3 linked regions of the Schizosaccharomyces pombe genome follow. The protein of the gene in region 3 purifies or fractionates together with the protein of the main gene of each other region. This does not show direct contact. Each region holds a gene or a part of one and is shown on either strand. Other genes may lie near its edges.

Region 1 (6,548 bases), on a different chromosome or scaffold from region 3:
GTTGTAGTAAAATCATAATTCTTTTTATTTTTCACTTTTTATAAATCCCTTGTGATAATTAATTTTGGTCTCATATATAAATAACCGTTCATTAGAGTAGACCAAGCATAAATGATATGTACAAATAATCAGTCTTTCCCATCCTAGGTTTTTCTGTTAACAAGAGCTAGGTCGGAGGCCTCCGGCTTCGAGAGCTACGGCGAATAGCTTGGTTTGAAGCTGCCGGTGAAGAAGCAGGCTCTATGGGCTCAGTAGCCATACGCTTTGGAGAACGGGCTGTATTTTGAGAAGATGGCGAGACGGATCTTTTTCGCAAAGTCATGGAACTCTCTTTCTTTTCAGACTTTTCTTTTTTTTCGGGAATAACAGGCTGAATCTTTGGACTTTGCGGCTGTTCAGTAACAGGAGAAATACTTCTAGAAGAGGATCGTAAATTCCGAGAAATTTTCTCTTCTTTAGATTCAAGCTTGACTTTACTTTCCTTCTTCTCTTTCTGTAAATTCGTCTCCTGCTTAACTTCGGGTTCACCGGGTTTAGTTTCTACCGTTTCAATCTCCACTTTTTGAGATGTTTCCAATGGTTTCTCGGATTTTTCTTTTACTTTAAGAATATCTTTTGGTAATTTAAAATCTTTAACATCTGGCGACTTTATTCGTTTTTCTTTCGCCTTAACTTCTTCATTTCCTGGAGCTTCCTAATTTAAAAAACTGTCAACAAATACTTGAAAACAAAAAATTAAAAGGCTTTTTGACATACCAATTCTTCAAACTCTTTCAAATTATAAAGTGTTCCTAATTTATTCCAAACGTCCTGAGCCTTAATTGTTGATCTTTTGCAGCCATCACGAATTTCTCGTAAAATCCCTATCATATAAAAATTTTTTTCTATTCCTATTTTTTAATTAGTGAATGAATGCAATAATTTGATAACATGCAGCTTTTAAAATAAGAGACCGAGCAATTAACCTTTCGAACACTTACCTACAGGGCGCAATCCACGACAAATAGCTTTTAACAGTAAGGTTTCCTCTAAAACAGACCATTCAGTAACAGAATCATTCATATTTGATTCTTTATTTACATCCTCCTGCCTTTTCTGCTCGGCAGCAGTTGATGATCTTGTTCCCCTCGAACTCATAAATACAATTGCTATCCTCTAATACATAGGTTTATATGGGTAAAATAAGAAAATTTCTGTTTCTTAGTTTACTTTTTCTACTAATTTAACTTTATATTATCGGCAATATAGCAGATTATCAATATTTATGGTGTTGTGCGGTACTTCCAGCCATAACTCATGAAACTGGTTTTTATAATATTTTCTTTTTCTAGCTGCAGTAATTACAAGGTCAAGTGTATTTCATCTTTTTTCATAACCTTAACAAAAAATAAAAGTTCATCCAAAAAGAATCGTGCATCTTTGTGTTATCCTTTCTTCATTCTTAAATTCAATAGACATTCAAGTGCAGTAATTGAGTAAGGCTGCGATAACCCATAAAGTATTCTTATTTTAGTGAATCCTTTGTAACTTCCTTTAATTACAACTTACTAACAATGGAACTAAAAGTCCACCATGCTTGCAATTTCTTTTTCTTTTTTACATATAAATCAATTCGCATTATATAGGAAAATTTAACGATATTTTAGGTAATTTTAAAGTAGCTCATTTAAAGCCCTACAAGCTTGGTAGAAAATAGACTTTAAATCGTAGGTTTATTTCTATATCCATAGTACGGTAATACTAAGCTAGGAACATTCACATCCACATAAAGAAGATGATTAAATTTACAAAAATAAAAGTTCAATTTTGTAATATCAGACTAATGTATTTGTCCAAGGTTAAATTTAATCATGTAAAGTATGTGTATATTATACGGTAGGGCATAAATTTCTTATACAAGAAAAATCGTTATAATTTGTAAAAAAATAGGAGCATCGCTCATCCGTTGATTATCGTCATAAAACATTATGCCTCACCCAACATATATCCATCATTGATTGCTGTTAAGTCGAGTCGTCCAAATGTGTCGTGGGAATTCAAAACGATAAAATATAAGCTTCTAAGTATTTAAAAGGATTATTTGCTGGATAACCAACTATGTGAAAGGGAAAACAAAAAATCAACAAAATGAAGCCCATAGAGTTTAGATTCATCAGAAGTAAGTGATAAAGGGATAAAGAGCAAAATTTAGTCAAAACAAATAGCGTATAGTAAATGCATCTATAGTTGGCGTAAACAAAAATCATATCTTAAAAGGTACATAAACAGTTTCTTTATAATTGCATAGACTCTAAAAGTGGGAGACACCAAAACTCTGCTTGGAAGCGGAGGTAGAAGCATCATTATCATTTTTTGAATTGAAAGGTGAACTCAAAGTAGAAGCCTTTTGAAGCGGTGATTCATTTCCATAAATTTTGTCGTCAATCGAACGAAGTTGGTTTGTCAATGGTACTGCGAAACTGGGAGGTGGGGTTATAGGGGCACTCTTAGTACCATTCAATGAATGCTCTTGCAAAAATCGAGTAGCTAACGGTGCCGGCATATTAAATCTTAAATTTGGAGATGCAGGTTGCGACTGACTTACGCTCGTATTCTTTTTATTCGGATGAGTAACTACTAATTTTAACACCTCTCCATTCGGGCGAGCATAGTAATCGAGATCAAAGTACAGGCAAAAGATTCTAATGGCATTTAGAAGGTTTCCGTCCTTAGAAGTGGTTTCAAATGTTATTTCACGAGAAGGAATGCATTGATGAGCAAACAATAGAAGTCTACTATAAGTTTCAAGGGTACCAGTGTCATTCAAATTTAAGCCTTGATCAGTAAAGCTAACTTCAAACATCTTGTACTGCTGTTTACGACGTCTTTCTTCAGCTTGACGTTTCTTTGCTTTTTCCACCTTCTCGCGTTCTGCAGCTGGTAATTGGCGTTTCCATTCAACACGAAGACGTCTGCCATTAATTTCATAGCCATTAAGCGTTTGCACAACAACTTGAGCCTCTTCAGGACGATAAAAATTAGCAAAAGCCAATCCTCGAAATATTCCATTGTCATAGTGATAATTAAAGGCATAAGGTCTGGGAATACCTAGTTGCTTAAAATGATCCAACAATGTATCTTTCTCCAACGAGAAAGGAATATTTTTCACAACAATAGCCGTTGGAATGGTATCTTCACCGGGTTCAACCGGTGTTGAATTAGAATTGGCAGTCGATCCTGCTTTGATTTGGGTACTGTTAAAAGCATCCAACGAAGGCTCTGCGGATGTATCAGCTTTATTGCCTTTTCCACTGGCAGAAAAGCTTTTACTTTCTGAAGAAGATTCAGCACCACTAGGAGGAGAGACATTGTGGAAAGCCATAGCACTCGCCTCATTTGCTGAATTTGAGTTCCTGGACGAGAGGTACGGAGTTCCAATAGAATTGGCGCTGTTAAAAAGCGCGGAACCTTTAGAACTATTTTCTAGCCCACCAAGCTGAGAATAACCAAAAGTAGGAAAGCTATCAGAAGGAGCCGGCGATGCAGCACGACTACTAGCAAGAGAAAGGGCACCGGACCATTTGGGGTACAGCGGAGCACTCGAACCGGAACCGCTTGTTTTCCTAGAAGCCTGAGGAGAACCAATTGGCTGTAGCTTAGGAGAATTCAAGGGTGATTGTAATCTTGATAATGCTTCATGATTTGATTTTTTCGTCCCAGAATTACCTGCTAATCCTCGACTTTCATCCACACGAATTTTCCAGGGAAATATTTCATTAGGCATTCTAGATGCGGGGGAACGAGTCCAGATATATTCTGAGGAATAAAAGTTATATGTGAAAACAGAGAAAATTGACTAGGAAATTCCCGTAATTTGCCCCTTAGAATACTGCACTTGTAGATGCTAGTTCAGTCTAAGGATTAATTGAGCGTCTCTTTCAGCAGCATCACACGGTAGCACACCAAATTGTTTAACAAAATACAACGAAAAGCAGCAAACACTTTACTATACACAAAAAAAAATATACTTACTTGTTTGCGTAAATAGTAAGGCAGTTAATAATTAATAGGAATATAAATCTGAACATATTGAGTAGCAGTATGAACGTAAAAAGCCGATTGAAGCTGTTCTTAGCTTTTTTGCTATCTCTCATGATAAACGAGTAATCTAAATTAGCTGTGCCTTACCGAAAACGAGTATCTTGTCAGCTGTAGAAGAGTATAGATAAATAAAAGTAGACAGCTGGACTCTCCATTAGCCAAATTCGAGTAGACTTGAGCATTGCTTAACTTTTCTTCCTTTCTGCTATTTCTTTTTACTATACTGTTCCTGTTGACTTCAGACTTGCTATTTTGTTTTAAGGCGTATCATGGAAATGTACAATGCCAGGCATATTTGAATGCTTTTATTATCGATCCTTCATTCGCTAATAGACGAAATGTTATTTCAACCGACACCTATTAATTATCGAAGTAATCTTATTTACTATACGTTCGCTGAGTCGTTAAAATGTCAAGCAAGTGCCATGTTGTTGTACATTGACGGCTGCAGCGATCCTCCCTTTTATTCTATTTCATAAAAACCACTTATATTAAGCGTTAAGAACTATTTCCATCCAGCATTAATTACTATCGTTAGATGACTTTTAAAGGCTTCACCGTGCACACCCATTTCTTTTGAAATGTACTCAAGTATCACACTTCGAGGAAAAATTACTTTTTAAAACCTCCTTTTGCGTTTCTTATTACATTTTAGAAATCTTACCACTTCAAACTTGGTTCGTGTAATTGACACGTGGCTAAAAGCTGTTGTAGATACGCGGAATCTCCACGCAAATTTCTATTTGATATATTTCGCATGTTGTCGTTTAACCATATCTAGAATGACAACAAGGATGCACTCTTGAGAAGTGCGTTCAAGCTCCTCCTGCTTACTAAAGAAGTTCATTATAAGGGGGAGCGACGTACCGGAGAAAGCAAATACTGCAAAACAATTTGTCAGTGTGCATACAAATATATGTCACATCTCTCACTTTTCTCCTTATTTAAATTGTATTAGATCTCGATGGATTATGTTATTGTGCTAGTAGTCTGATTTTCGTGATAATCACTTAGACACATATTTGTATAAAAATTTACTGAATACCACTAGCAAGCCGCTTACCAAATTAATCACCATAAGACTCAACAATGAGAAATTTGACTATAAGGAATATATAAGCGTTTGGATAGGGTTTTTAGTGCTTTATTATTAGGATATTTCCTTGTTTACTTGTCTTTGTTTTTCTTTATTCTCCCCCTTAAAAATATTTGTAAAATTGTCTAAAAAACGTCCATCTCAACTAGCGGCCATTTGTTTAAAAAATTTTTATTATTCAAGAGCATAAATTATACGCAATGTCTAGTTCTTCATCTCACAACTCATTTTCCGGCTCTAAAACAAATGCTGCTGAAGGGCAAAATTCAATAGATGGACTATCCCTTAAAAAGACCACCAGTCCTTTTATATTGACAGCATATCCTTCCAATGAAGAAAAGGAAGTTAAAGAAACCGACATAGTTCCGGATGAAAACAAAGTGAATGAACTTGACGTGCATAAGCAATCCACTGAATTCTCTAAACAAGAATCTGCTTCTAATGATGATGATACCAATATACAATTAATCCCAGAAAATAATATGAAAATAGTGGTTCCTGCCTTAATTCTTACTTTGTTTCTTGCTGCATTAGATAATACAATTGTCACCACTGCTTTGCCGACTATAGCTGAAGACTTTAATGATACATCAAGTTCATCATGGATTGGATCTGCCTATGTCCTTGCTTCCAACGCAGTTCTTCCTGCTGTCGGTGTATTTTGCAATATCCTTGGAAGAAAAATAGTACTTTACATTTGCATTTTCTTTTTCATGCTGGGTAGTGCACTTTGTGGTGCATCACAAAACATGATATGGCTAATCGTTTGCCGTGCCATTCAAGGCCTTGGTGGAGGAGGTATTATTTCTCTCGTGAATATTATTATATCTGATATAACCCCATTGCGCACAAGACCAATGTATAGTGGAATTCTGGCTACTGCCTGGGGTGCGGCTTTGGTAGCAGGGCCTATTATTGGAGGTGCAATTTGTCAAAGAACAACTTGGAGATGGATTTTCTTTATTAATTTACCAAGTGGCGGTATTGCAACTGCCTTAATTGTTGTGTTTTTGCATTTATTGCCTTGTGAGCGTACTTCGTTTAAAAAGTTTTTGAAGACTTTTGACTTCATTGGCCTTGTATGTGTGATAACCGGTATCGTATTGATTCTTTTGGGAATTTCTTTAGGTGCATCATCGGGGAAATGGCGCCGTGCTAATATCCTATGTTATCTTATTATTGGCGGTTGTTTATTTGTATTTGCTTTTATATATGATACTTTTACGAAAAGAAATGCTGTTTTACCACCTCCATTCTTTAAAAATCGTTCTAGTGCAGCTTTGCTGGCTTGTTCATCTTTTTTCTATTTAAATTACATGCTTTTTGCATATTACGTTCCTCAATACTTTCAACGGATTCGCGGTGACAATCC
Region 2 (7,411 bases), 3.2 Mb from region 3:
TATGGACAGAACGCGAAGTTGATCCGGTAAGCAAAAGAGGAGTGTCTTTCTTATAACAAACGGAAGAAACTCCGTCTAGAGTAGAAGACTGCATTAAGGGACTACTCTTCGGGTCAGACAGTAATGAATTCAAGTCCCATAACTTCAAGGAAGACTCGTTTCGAGATTTTGCAAATCCAGCAACAAGATGTTCAGTTTCAGAAAATGCCAAACTATTGCAAGGGCGAGCATATCCAGGTGTTACTACTGCTTGAAATTCTGGATGCTTAACAGAAAGCAATGATATATTTCCGGTAGAAGAACCAGCACCCAATATTTCATTGTTTCCGTGAAAAGAGTCTATACATTTAACATTTTTCAATGATCTCCAAATAATGTGAGTTTTCCAATTTACTTTAGGGGAAGCTTTGACGGCGACATATCGAATCTCATCTGAGGAGCCGTTAACCCAAAAATAACAGCCATTCCTCTTTTTACTTCTATTTAACATTCTCTAAAGAGAAATTTGACAATTAGGCTTTACCAGAAACGCCCAAAATACTGCATAAACATTAAACAGAGCTTGATCGAAGCGTTCTTCAATCTCAACCACTCGTCAAACATAACGTTTAGCACTAATTTGCTTAACGATAGCTAACAGAAATGCCTTAACAACGGACTGAAAAGAGGCTGTCAAATTCAAAGGTTTTCTTTTTGCTATTGATGATTCTCTTAACAATAGTAGTATTAAAATACAGACCGGTTGCTAGATTAACTATCTTTTGCATACTTTTTAATCTCTAGGGTGACTTCGGTGTCGAACAAGCGATTCTTTGATGTACTGTTGAAAGTCTAAGCTTTTAAATCACTCCACAAGTACAACATATAAATCTACCTTGAATAAGTGTGAGTGAATCAAATATTTTAATCATAATTACCAGCTTAAACTTATATATAAAAGTAACGTGTCACTTGAGAACCTAGCAGCTGTAAAAATTGCAGTCCTTTAAGTTTACTACTGTTCTTCACCAGAACTAATTGTTTATGGTTTGAATTTCTATTTATCTATTTTATTGAGCGTTTTAGCATGCCAAAATTTAAGGGCCCTGGACTTTCTGTGCTGAAGAAAAAAATTCGCGACAATGAGAGATTATTGAAAAAGGTGTGTAATTTTTTTGCTGGTTTAAAAACATCTGCGGTTTCAGTGTGTAATAAATATTACCTTCCTTTTTATGTTAATGAATAAGAAAACTAACTTCCTTTAAGGAGAATTTGCCTGCAAACATTCGTGTTGAACATGAACGAGCTCTTTTGGGTCTACAAGAGCAGTTGTCTATGGCACAGTTAGAGCATAAAAAGCAAAAGATTTTTGAAAGATACAAAAAAGTTCGATTTTTTGGTATGAAACATATATAAAAACAGCATTTTTTGTTCAGTGAACTTGCTTACTGATTTTCTCAGAACGTAAAAAAGCAGAACGACGTATTAAACAATTGGAAAAATCTTTGAAGGATGAAACTATGGATGATGAGAAACGCAAGCAGTGTGAGAAATCGATGCGTAAATGTCAAATTGATCTTATGTATATTAAAGTATGTTTGTATTTTCGACTTCATTTCAACTATCAACTTGGCTAAGATACTAACCTATTTAGGAATACCCCCCTTTAACAAAGTATGTTTCACTCTACGCAGAAGGCACATCTGAACAGACCGAAGAAACTCGAAATCGCATTTGGGCCGAGATGGAAGAACGCTTTAATAGTGGCAGAAAACACAAAATACCATCTTCAGGTTCCAACAGGGTTCCTGTACAGGAAAAAAGTTCAACTGGTGGTGATTTGGAAGATGAATTTTTGCAAAGATAAATGAAAACTTGGATTGAGGTTTTGGAAATAAAGGGATTAAATAGACGAAACTGTAATAATATGATTCATTCTTTTTAATAAAGGTTGTGAAGTTTCCATATGAGTTATCGAGCAAGGTATTCTTTTTATGCAAGTTTATTTAAATTTTTTCTATGTCATATTGCAATGGGATTTGCTAGGGTACCAAAAATAGAACTTGTGGGAGAGAAGCTTTTGGATCCTAAGGTTCACTGAAGATATTTTTCACATATTTCATTCTATAATCTAATATGCTAAAATTCGAATGATATTTCATGGAATATCAAATTAATAAAAATATAAATTTACAAGAATTTAAGTAAAAACAAAAAATTAGGACTTTCATTTTGTTCTGTTTTAGGTGGTCGAATTATTAGACAGTTTAATAGTCTTTATCATTGCAGCAGTGTTTTTAAGAGCTCTTAGATGGACTTTCGGTTTTATCATCACAGTACCCTGTTATTTGCCTGGCAAAAAGTTACCTAGTGGGGGTTTAAAAATCAACACCAGTATGTAGTATATACATTTTATAATAATTATTTTTACATTTGCTTCTATAGATTGGTATATTTGAATTTATGGGTTTAAGACCTCAATAATATGGTGTAGTATATTGACTTTGCGCCCTTGGTGGTGTCCACGGATACCTAACCTCCGCACCACACGAAGTTACGACTTGTTTAGTGTCGATATGGCTGAGGGCACAAGCCAAAGGCCATTAACGCCTTTGTCGCAGGCATTTTTGTCAACTAATACTCTTTCTCCTGCTTCTTCCCCTTTAACTTTCCATTCTGAGGCTGCATCTCTGCGTAGAAAACGGTCCAACTTTTTCCCCAAATTAGATGAATTAAATGGAGCTCAAGATGAAGAAATGAGAGGTCTTAATATTCCTGGAGGATCAGGATATCTCGAGAACCGATATGGTCGTGATAAGTTTACGTTTTCTGATGCAGCCGTTAACAGTGCTGGAATGGGAGGGTCTGGCATATTTTCCCACAACAATGCAGATGATGGTTTGGGTGATGGTTCTTCTACGGTTTTACCAAGTTCCCTTAAACAAATGCTGGATCCTGAAATTTCAACTGCCAATAATCCATCTGCAAAGCCTCGTCGAACTCGTCTTCAAACTGCTTGGAAAGAAGCAACTAATTCAGCAGGCCTTTCTCTCCGGTCTGCAAGTGCTTTAGATGTACTCAAAAATTCTGGACCTGCTACTACCTCATTACTTTCCTCAACAACATACCCTTTTGATAGTTTAAATGCATTCAACGAACCATCCCATTCACATGTACCAAACTCAGCTTCTAGCACTGCTCTGTCTAGAGGTATGAGCAACTCTGTAACTTTGACGGCACCCCCTGAACCTGATGAAGAGACCATTCCTACCGCGATTGTTATTAAAAATATTCCATTCTCCTTGAAGAAAGAAGTGTTGTTTAAAGTGTTCACTGCATTAGACATCCCACGTCCATACGCTTTTAATTATCATTTTGATAACGGAGTTTTTAGGGGCCTTGCCTTTGCTAATTTCCATTCTCCAGAGGAAGCCAAAACGGTTGTGCAAGTTTTGAATGGCTATGAAATTACTGGTCGTCGTCTTCGTGTTGAATGGAAGCGTCAACTACCGCCTGCGGAGCGTGAACGTGTTGAGCGTGGTAAACAAGAGAAACGCGCTGTAGAAGAACGAAAAAATCAATTGAAATCTCCGTTTTCTGTTGCCAATATAGGTGCTGGCATTGATTTTGATTTGAATGATCCAGCTATACTCAATGTATATTCTCATATCTTGTTATTTTATTATCGCAGCGATAACACTAATGATCTTGTATTTGATTCTTCAACCACCCAGGAAGAACGTCGGGTTGCTGCCTTATTAGCTTCCCGTCTCAATCTCAATCATTCAGTTACTGGTGACGGTGAAGCTAAGCAAGTGGTTATTACCATGCCTAGTACTCATTTTACTCCCGCTAATAATTCGAGTGCTAACCACTCTCCTTTGATGGCCCCAAACGCCAGTACTTTAAATCCTTCTTCTTTAGGTGCTTCCAATTTGAGCCAACCAAGTCTTGCAAATCACTTGAGCTCCTCTGGTTTATTTGACAATGGTCTTTTCTCGTCCGGTGGTCTTTCTAGTAATTTTTCAAGTCTTAGACGACCCGCTCCCTCTATGCATCTTGCGGATAGCATACGTTCTCTCAGAGGACTAAATGATTCTAAAGCCTTTTCCGACATACGTAGTATGCCAGCTACTCCGTTAGAACTTGCTACTCCTTTTGCTAATTTAAATGTTTCCTCTCCACTGGATCGCAATGCGACTAATTCATCAAATACTTTAAACGGTAGTGCGATGAACGATTATTTTGCAAGCCTTACTCCATCAAACACCGGTGCTATTGGATCCAGAACTTTTACAAAGAATTAGTCTTGGATTTTTTGTTTTTCCCTGCTTTTGATTAATCTTGTTTTGGCTATGTCTCGGGTTTTATTAAGTTTCATTTACCTTACGATAATAAGCGCTTTCAAGCAAATTTATACTTTGTACATAAAAACGACGAGTGAAATTATCTCAATGAATTATCCATTTTTACGACCTAGTGTTCAATTGAGGACATGATTTTCATGCTTATATCGTTTACATACTCACTTCGGATGTGCATGTGATCGGGCTCATGCTTTTAAACTATAATGTGATTCTTGTAAAACGAAAAGGATTTAATTTAATAGATGATATTTTTCTCTCTTCAAAGTCACGTTTATGATTATTTTGAGAGGAATAAAATGGAATTTTCTTTTGTGAGATTTTTTTAAACTTTTGTATCGCAAATCCGGTTTGACGATTCGTATACTGGGATACGATGCTTGAGCTATACAGCAAAAGTCTCAAATAAAATTTACGATAACCGATCTTACGTGGGATGTTAATGGTGTTATTTGCAATAATTTGTTGTTTTGATTGTGTTTTGTTCTTATGTGTAGGACCTTTCGTTACTATCAATACCTTTTCAATTTCTATATCTCATATGTTTTGTACGGACCCAGCTTGTTCACGTTAGTGTCACTCGGTTTTTAACTATTACGAATGATGGCTTCATTTTAATGGCTGTTTGGCTAATTGTGCCTAAATTCTTTTCCGTGTTATTGATTTGATAATGTGTTAAAGAATTCAATTTCGATTATGAGAGTTCGGTTGTCATTTGTATGATTTTTTTCGTCAAGATATGATTGCACTATTTTTTTTTTGTTATTATTATTTTTTTTCGCACTGTTTTTAGTGGATACTTGATGATTTTGTCTAAACGTATCTCGTATCTGCTGTATCGTTTAGTATTACTTTTTAAATAAGTATAGAACATTTACGACTTTTTAATTTGATAAATTGAGTTGATCTTTCTTATTTGAATAATCACGAAGAAACGGCACATTGACCATAGTCGAGCACCGCATTTTTTTTAGAGGTTTTAATGACTGTAAATCGACTAAATGAAAACGCTCCCCGTTCTTGCTCTATATGTTTTAATTTTTTAGAAGCCGTTTAGCGATAAACAATGCAATACACTATTTTTCGATATTTTTCTTCAAGAAGCTACCAAACCTATTCTTAAAATTTGGTCGCTTTTCTATTGGCTATTTGCCGGCATGTCAATCTTTATCCCATCAAAGTTCTTTCTAGAATATCAGGCAGTCACAGTATATATAATGTCTATTATAGCTAACTTATCGTCTGCCTAGCCTTGTTTGGAATTTCATTAAGCGGAAAATAGTGAAGAGTATTTCACGTATTTTAAAACCAATAATATATCTAAAAGCTGCAAGCATTTATTTTTGCAGGGACAGCTAGCTGGTTATATTCCTAACGTGTGGGTTGTATTTGCGTTAGATAACTTTACATTTCTTTATATCTCTTTTTGGGTGCATTAAAAAAAACCATTTTTTACAACTTCATTTTATTTCATTAATTAAACATAATGGTGAGCTTCCTTTCTTCCAGTGTATCTCGTCTACCTTTAAGAATTGCTGGTCGTCGAATCCCCGGCAGATTTGCCGTCCCTCAAGTTCGTACATATGCTAAAGACTTAAAATTTGGTGTTGATGCTCGCGCATCTTTACTCACCGGTGTCGATACTCTTGCTCGTGCCGTATCTGTAACTTTGGGACCAAAGGGCCGTAATGTCTTGATTGACCAACCTTTTGGTTCCCCTAAAATCACTAAGGACGGTGTAACTGTCGCCCGTAGTGTAAGTTTGAAAGATAAATTCGAAAACCTTGGTGCAAGACTAGTTCAGGATGTTGCAAGCAAGACTAATGAAGTTGCTGGTGATGGTACCACTACTGCTACTGTTTTAACTCGTGCCATCTTTTCTGAGACTGTTCGTAACGTGGCTGCCGGTTGCAACCCTATGGACCTTCGCCGGGGAATTCAACTTGCTGTTGATAACGTCGTCGAATTTTTGCAAGCCAATAAGCGTGATATTACTACTTCTGAAGAGATTTCCCAAGTCGCTACCATCTCTGCTAACGGTGACACTCATATCGGTGAGCTTCTTGCTAAAGCCATGGAACGTGTTGGTAAAGAAGGCGTTATCACCGTCAAAGAAGGGCGCACAATAAGCGACGAATTAGAGGTTACTGAGGGTATGAAGTTTGATCGTGGTTACATTTCTCCTTACTTTATTACCGATGTCAAATCACAAAAGGTTGAATTTGAAAATCCTCTTATTCTTCTTTCTGAAAAGAAAGTGTCTGCTGTCCAAGACATTCTTCCCTCTTTGGAGCTTGCCGCTCAGCAGCGTCGTCCCTTAGTTATCATCGCAGAGGACGTTGATGGTGAAGCTTTGGCTGCTTGTATCTTAAACAAGCTTCGTGGGCAATTACAAGTTGTTGCTATTAAAGCCCCTGGCTTTGGTGACAACCGTCGTAATATGCTTGGAGATTTAGCCGTCTTGACTGATAGTGCCGTGTTCAATGATGAAATTGATGTTTCCATCGAAAAGGCTCAACCCCATCATTTGGGTAGCTGTGGCTCTGTAACTGTCACCAAGGAAGACACTATCATTATGAAAGGTGCTGGTGACCATGTTAAAGTTAACGACCGTTGTGAACAGATTCGTGGTGTCATGGCCGACCCTAATCTCACTGAATACGAAAAAGAAAAGCTTCAAGAGAGATTGGCCAAATTGAGCGGTGGTATTGCTGTTATTAAGGTTGGAGGCTCCAGTGAAGTTGAAGTCAACGAGAAGAAAGACCGTATTGTTGATGCATTGAATGCTGTTAAGGCTGCTGTTTCCGAGGGTGTTCTCCCAGGTGCTGGTACCTCTTTTGTTAAGGCTAGTCTTCGCTTAGGAGACATTCCTACAAATAACTTTGATCAAAAGCTTGGCGTCGAAATTGTTCGCAAAGCTATCACTCGTCCCGCTCAAACCATTCTTGAAAATGCTGGATTAGAGGGTAACTTGATTGTTGGTAAACTTAAGGAGCTTTATGGCAAGGAATTTAACATCGGTTATGATATTGCTAAGGATCGTTTTGTTGATTTAAATGAAATTGGTG
Region 3 (7,074 bases):
TAAACTTTCCGAGCTATGGTGGTATATTTCTTGAAGTTTTTCTGACTCCTCCACGTAATTTTCAAATCCAGAGTAACCTTCATCTTGAATTTCGTCTTCCGTTTGAAGCAATTTCTCTTCTTTATGATTTTGTGCCAACATCAGTTGGTCCCCTGTTTCAAGTGAAATGTAATTATCCGTCATCATGGCAATGTTTCTCTTTCTTCCTTCTCGATCCTTTAACTCCTTAATCATTGCTTCCTCAGGAATGCCTTGATTAAGCATATTCCATTCCAAACTAGTATTAACGGGTAAAGGAGGTGACGATCTTGTTTGCAATTCGCTTTCTTTGGTCGAGGAATCCTCCTCCTTCTTTGTAAATTCTGATGGTGTCTGCCTACTTTTTCTCTTTAACTCATCCACATAAGCATTGGAGTATCCACTTTCATGCGAGAGAGCATCCATTCTTCGCGATATTCTTTATTAATTAGATAACTAATACTTGGACTTAAAACATTTTACTTACAAATCATCAACCGAATGAAAAGAGCTTTGCTTTTTTACCTTTGGAATCAAAGGGATTTGAGAATCCTCCCCATCGTCGTCTCCTTCCTAATCAATGTTTGTTAATATAACAGATGAATTGGTAAAACGTTTTCCAGCAAAAAACAACTTACCTCGTTCTCATATTTCACCCTAAATTTTCCCGAATTTTTTTCTTTCGCTTTTGTTTTTCTTCTATTTGCATTTTTGTCTAAGCATTGTTAGTACACTTGCGATAATAAGTTCTATTCGAGCCCAAGCACTTTTGCGCTTTTAAGTTCTTACTTGATTGAGAAACGTTTAAATTTTCTTCATGCTTTTCTTCCTCATTGTCGCTCGTTTGCACGATTTTAGGCTTCGCCTTTTTTAAGTATCGTCGCATGTTGGTAAATGGGTGCTACTTTCTAGGCAAACATATTTCTACCAATCTTTCATATTGAATAGCTATTTTTGTAAAAAAAAAATCATATAAAGTCTTAATTAAAATGATGTTTTTATGTTCTGTGAAAATTAGAAAGGGATAAACATAAATGTCTTTACTTGGGCATTTAATATTATGGCACATACTGAAGAGGTGCATCGGATAATGCAAAGCATCAGAAAAGTATTTGTTCAATTGACTTACATTTTTTTCGACTAATTTTAGAGAAATGTGTTTGAAATTCAAGTTTCAGATTTAAAACTTTTAATTGAAAAGCTACAATCGACAAGCTACCAATATCTACTACAGTCACTGGAAAATTTCCATTATATAAGTTGAAAACAAAAACAATGCTTTTAATTATTTAGAAAATCAGAAGAAAAAATAACAAAATTATTTTTTGGAAAGGACATTTTAAAATAAAACATATAAATAACTCATCGATCCAAAAAAAAGATTTGGACGTTTGAAAAACCTCAATGGAAGTTTTCATGTACATATGTGCATTAAGGAACAACAGCAATGAAAGAAAAATAAAACAATCATAAATAAAACAATCCTTGGCACAAATAATATTCAACAGTTATAAAAAACATCACAAGAGAGATTTAACATACAAGAATAAAAACAAAACAAAATAAAAAAAATCACGAGAGCACCCTTCAGTTCTTTAAGACATTAAACTAACTTGATCAGGAGCCCTCGAAAACTTATACGGATGCCTTTGAAAAACGAAAATAAATAAAAAATTAAAACAAAAACATTAGAAATAAAACAAGAATATTCGGGAAATCCCTTCACTTAAGAAGAGAAGTGGAAGAAACAAATAGTAGTAGTAGTAATGCATTTCAAACATCATAAAAATAATTTATGAATCGCGTGACAAGCGTAGAGAAGGTTGCAAGTATTGACCAGTACAATTAAATGTAGAATAAGAACGAGGAGGCAAGCGACCTCTCAAGTTCAAACCAAAGCCGGATTTCTCCAAACCGTTTTCATTTTGCTCCAACTCATGACGGAGATCAATTAGTGAAGACTGACGCTCCCTTCCTAGGTTCCAAGGCCTAGAAGCTCTCGCTTGAAATGCTGAACCATTCAAAGAAGCAGGTTGCTCATCATCAACCAACTTTAAGGAGGAAACACGTGTTAATAAATCTTGAGTAGCAAAGGAGTTATGATTGTTGCCGGAAAAAGGCTGCAACCATTCGGGGAGCTTCACACTAGGCTGGACCTTTGCAGAACCATTAATTTTTGAGGATTGCAAAACAGAAGACTGAGGATACACCTGTCCGCCTACCAAGCCAGTGGCAGCTGAAGGGAAATGGGAAGAAAGAGGTGTCAAACCTGAGCCACTACCGGACAACGTAGGAGAAATGGAGGCTGAACGAGACAAAGGAGGTGGAGAAATGGTTGAAAAATTTACGGAGTTCATGCCATTGATTGAGGAAACAACGGAGTTTGGCAACAAAGATTGCGCAGCAGCAGTACGAGGTGAAACAGGTGCACTCTTCAAGCTAGAGCCGGATGAGTTTGAGCTGCCAGAGTTTGCTCCAATGACAGATTGATTCATACCGAAAATTTGGTTAGCGGAAAGAGTTCTGTCGAAGCCCTCATCTGAAACTTGGGATTGAGATTGAGACAAGGCAGATACAGGAAGCGTATTATGACCCCACGCGAGGCGGATATGAGAAGTACCAACTAAGGCACCCTGCATAGTGTTTATGGCCTTTTCAGCAGCAGATTTTTCACTGTACTGGACAAAGCCACATCCCTTGCCAAAGGGAATCTTGATGTTCAAAATTCTTCCAAAGGGCTGAAAGCAAACTTGCAAATCTTTCTCGGATAAATTGCTAGCCAAGCCACCGACAAACACCGTAGTGTTCAAAGGATCCATGCTACAAAGATCTTGATTAGGCTGGCGGTTAGAAGTAGAAGTAGGAACGATACCAAGGGCAGAATCGGCGGCGATGGAGGCTCTAGACTTTGGTGAAGCGACAGAGATGCGTAAGGGGCGACCTTGACACAAATAGCCCTGCATATGCATCAAGGCATGTTGTTGTTCTTTCTCACTTGAAAAGCGAACAAAGCCATATTTCCTGCTGAGACCGGTAACGGGATCGACAATGATCTTGGCTGAGGTACATGAGGGATATATGGAACGGAAAGTCATAAAAAGATCCGAATCCTCGGTAGTGGGAAGAAGGTCGCCAACGAAGATACTAAACTCAGGATCACGGGAAACAAAGTTGTTATGTTGAATGCCGCCACCAGTAGCCCAGTTAAGCTTGAAGGTACAGTGAGCACCAGGAATCATGGTGTTATTATACTTCATCAAAGCACGCTCAGCAGCTGCAGAAGAGGAAAACTGAACGAAGCAATAGCTGATAAGCGTTTCCGAAGAGGATGCTTTGGAGCGCATGACTTTAACGTTGACAGGTTCGTTGAGGGAAGCCCAGAGCTGTTGAATAAAAGTAGCGTCCATCCAAGGTTCCAGGTCACCCATCCATAAGGTGTCGCTCATTTTCGAGCCAACACCTGCTACATCTTGAAGTGGAGTGGAGCTAGGAGAACAGTTGAAAGGAGCCACAAGTCTCTCCAAAGTAGGAGAAACTAACTCTGATTTGCCCTCATCAACCACAGGGGAAATGGGGGCATTGACATCTGAATTAGAAGCTGACATTTTCGAGGTTGCTGGAATAGACGAATGCAAAGGGACGAAGGAAGTATCAAACAATGAAGAACGGCGATAAAGGCAGTCAATAGACATTTAAATAGATATCCAAAAAAAAGTAAAAGAAAGTAAGTAATATGAATGAACAACAAAGTTTCAATGAGACACAAAAGTCAAAAAACGTAACCAGTATAAGACAATGGGTGGTAGAATCTTTCAACGATGAACAAAATAAAGCTTAGCTTATAACGTACAGACAAATAAATCAAGGACGAAAAAGCGAGAGGTCTAAGAACTCTTGAGATGAAGAAATGCTAATAGAACAATCAAGAACAATTTAATAAAAAAAAAAAGAGAAATTTTTTTTGCTTGCGTAAAGTGTAACGGTAAGAGCAAAAAAAAAAAGATTCAGGAATAAAAGAAGTACTAAAACAAAGTGTTACAAAGATCGAGTATTAAAGAGGATTGGAAGAATAAAAATCAAAATCGATCTGAAATAAAAGGAAATTAATAAATGAGATGGTTTCGCGGTAAAAAGCTTGTTGAAGTGAAAATATAAAAAAAAAACACAGAAACAAAGTTATTCGATTGTTGATGAGACAAAAAGCGAAAATACAATCCTTAATGAGGCGTGAAAGAAAAATTCGTTAAAATCACTGAATGGGTACACGAAAAAGAAAACCTGATGGTTGTGATGAAGCAGGGTTCTTCAGTTTTTATTTTAAAAATAATAAAACAAGTAATACAATGTACGAAAGAAAAAGGAAACAACGATGAACAAGGTCTCTTCTGAAAATTATTAGGTATGAAGAATAAAAAAAAGAAAAAGAAACCAAAGGTTGGAAGAGAGAAAATAAAGAAAAGGAAAAAAGAAAATCGAGTCGAGTTAATCAATCACAGAAAGAGAAGAAGAAAAGAAAATAAAATAAAATAAAAATATATATATATGTGCAATAAAAAACGAAGGAACCTGACAGGGGGGACAGAAGTGTTTTCTTTGATGAAGTTAAAGAACAACAGCAACAATGACAAATATATATATATATATTATATTATATTATATATTATATAAATATAATATATATACAATGCAGGAAAAAGAGGTGTCCGTATATTATAGGTTTATATATATATACTGTGCAGTATATGTATGTTATAATATATAAAGAACAAACGAATCCTTTTGATATCGAGTAGTCCTTTTTTTCGCTAGTGATATAGCTAAATAGGAGGATACGGTATGCGAGGAAGTAAAAGGGAAAATTTTCCTTCTCGAGAAAGGTAGAGTTTGAAAGAGACGAGAAGAAGAATGGAAAAAAGATACCAAAAGCAGTCAGTAATATATAACCAAGTAAGGAATCTGCAAAAAGGTACGGAAAATTTAGAGGGAACGATAGAGTAGGGAAGAGGAGAAATCGTTCAATAGGGGAAAAAGAAGAAAAATGAAAAAAAAAGTGGTGATAGGATAGAACGCTGGAATGCTAGAGGAATTCGGTAAAATACAAATAAATAAGTCACGCAGCGAAAAAGAGAAAAAAAAAGTACAACCGGTTCCGAATGCAAAGCGAAGCAAAGCAAAGTAAAGGAAAGAAAGGATGAACCGTTGGGAGACGAGTGAAAAGTAAAAGTGAATGGGAGAGAGTAGGAGCGTGTCCAGACTAGGCAAGCACTTTAAATAGCGAGACCTTAAAAACGTATACACACAACAAGGGGGGTACGGTGTGTAATAAACACAAATGAAGTATGGGCTATGCAATCAGCTAGGCAACACAAGACAAGCAAGGCGAGGGAAAGTGGCGAAATCCCAAGAGAGCAATAAGGATGCGTAGCGAGGAAAAAAAGCGAGACAGCGATGCGCACCGGTACCGAAAACCAAAGTCCGAAAAATGGATGTAAGATTTACGAGGTTAAGAATCGAAAGAGGACAAGGGAGAGAGACAGAGAGAGCACAAGGCAGTAGAGAGAGTATGTGCGTGAGAGAGAGAAAATCAGGTAAGGATTGATGTGGGAGGATGGTGAGCGAAAAAAAAAAGCAAACCACCGAGAAATGGGTCTAGAAAAGAAACCGTTGCAAAGGAAAGAAAAGGAAATCGAATGAAATCGATTGAATGAATAGGAAACTTGGCTGGACTTTTTAAATAGTTAGCCGAGTGTTGCTAAAAGCGGTGAATGATGTGAAAGTGAGAAAGCGAATAAAAGAATAAAAAAGAAAAGGATGAAGAAAAGTGCAAGACTTTTCTTGGGGGGTTTGTTGATAAGGCAGTGTGTGATGGAATGGAAAGAGAGGGAGAAAAGTGCTTTGTTTGAAAGATAAGTAAACGAAGCAACAAACAAAACAAACTAAACTAACCGAACCGAGCAAAAGAAAAAAAAAATTACACAACAACCACAAAAAGTAAAGACACTAGGAGAGAGTAGCAAAAGCTTACAAAAACAAGTGGTTGAAAAAAGGAAGAAGACAAGAGTAAATTAGAATATACTGGATAGGCAAAAAAAAAAGAAAAACTCCCTAAAAAAAACACACAAGGGGTATTAAACGAAGTTTGTATGTATGTAGTGAAACAAAAAAAAAAAAGGAAGAAAACCGAGAAAAGCGGCGTTAACGGTGTTACGGAATTAACGGGGCGTTTGACGGTAATGAAAGTAAGTAGTAATAGTAGTACCAGTAATAGTAATAGTACTAGTAGTAGTAAAAAGGTAAGTGAATAAGAACCGGTTTAAAAAAAAATAGGAAAACAATACGATTCAACAAACACACGGCAAAGAAGCAATTTTACGGAATGAGGTGAATGCGAAAGGAATTAAAACGCGTCTTTTTTTTTGTAAACACAAGCAAAACAAACGGGGAAGACGAGAAAGAGTAGAAAAGACGCGTAAAAGCAAAGGTAAAAAAAGGATGGCAAGTGAGAGTAAGTGAGATAGAGAAAAAAGAAAAGAAAGAAACACACACACACACAAAAAAAAAAAAAAAAGGAAGTGTAAAATGGGAAAAGAGGAAAAATAAACAATGAAAATTTGAGAAAGGAAAAAAAGAAAAGAAAACGAAAAAGAGAAAGAAAGGAAAAATAATAAGAAGAAAAAAAAAAGCAATAGACAACGGAAAAGTGATAGCTCCGAACCAGTGAATGGATGTAAGAAATTGGGAAAAGGTCTCTTTTGTGAAAGGGGAAAAGAAAAAGAGAGAGAGAGCTTTTTTGGATTGATGGAAAGTGAAGTGGGAAGCGTATCTGGATGGGTACAGAAGAGAAAACAGGAATGAGAAAAATTAGAGAAAAGACAAAGGTTGGAGTGCGTATTTATAAGAGGAATAGATGGGAAGACTGCTAGGGAGCAACATAAGGAGGGGATCAAAAGATCGACCAAGCTTTTGTCCGCTTCCGTGATTTTGTTACGATGGCAAGGAGGAAAAAGAAAAAAACAAACATTAACGCACGTCATGAGCAAATGGGTTGTGACTTGC

Evidence for each region.
Region 1: the proteins of csx1 (region 3) and cip1 purify together in Schizosaccharomyces pombe (affinity purification with mass spectrometry, with the first as the bait; one study listed by BioGRID). This does not show direct contact.
Region 2: the proteins of csx1 (region 3) and cip2 purify together in Schizosaccharomyces pombe (affinity purification with mass spectrometry, with the first as the bait; one study listed by BioGRID). This does not show direct contact.

Annotation. Positions count from the first base shown.
Region 1 is NC_003423.3:4,260,183-4,266,730, forward strand, and holds cip1 (RNA-binding protein Cip1), read right to left. Parts: upstream 3,896-6,548; 5' UTR 3,764-3,895; coding exon 2,291-3,763; 3' UTR 1,636-2,290; downstream 1-1,635. Other genes in the region: NuA4 histone acetyltransferase complex subunit Eaf7, read right to left, coding at 167-694, 757-890, 981-1,137; SPOM_SPBC16A3.17C (transporter), read left to right, coding at 5,377-6,548. UniProt on the Schizosaccharomyces pombe protein: Regulates global gene expression after oxidative stress. Interacts and stabilizes mRNAs and may regulate their transition between different cytoplasmic components after oxidative stress.
Region 2 is NC_003424.3:340,274-347,684, reverse strand, and holds cip2 (RNA-binding protein Cip2), read left to right. Parts: upstream 1-2,513; 5' UTR 2,514-2,555; coding exon 2,556-4,286; 3' UTR 4,287-5,595; downstream 5,596-7,411. Other genes in the region: GATOR2-SEACAT complex ubiquitin-protein ligase E3 subunit Sea4, read right to left, coding at 1-490; efg1 (rRNA-processing protein), read left to right, coding at 1,067-1,141, 1,246-1,378, 1,441-1,571, 1,634-1,846; protein Mcp60, read left to right, coding at 5,830-7,411. UniProt on the Schizosaccharomyces pombe protein: Regulates global gene expression after oxidative stress. Interacts and stabilizes mRNAs and may regulate their transition between different cytoplasmic components after oxidative stress.
Region 3 is NC_003424.3:3,568,636-3,575,709, forward strand, and holds csx1 (RNA-binding protein Csx1), read right to left. Parts: upstream 3,711-7,074; coding exon 1,812-3,710; 3' UTR 1,372-1,811; downstream 1-1,371. Other genes in the region: spliceosome complex disassembly protein Ntr2, read right to left, coding at 1-457, 506-591, 657-733, 808-904; SPOM_SPAC17A2.10C (uncharacterized protein), read right to left, coding at 6,360-7,052. UniProt on the Schizosaccharomyces pombe protein: Regulates global gene expression after oxidative stress. Interacts and stabilizes atf1 and pcr1 mRNAs after oxidative stress, thus controlling their turnover.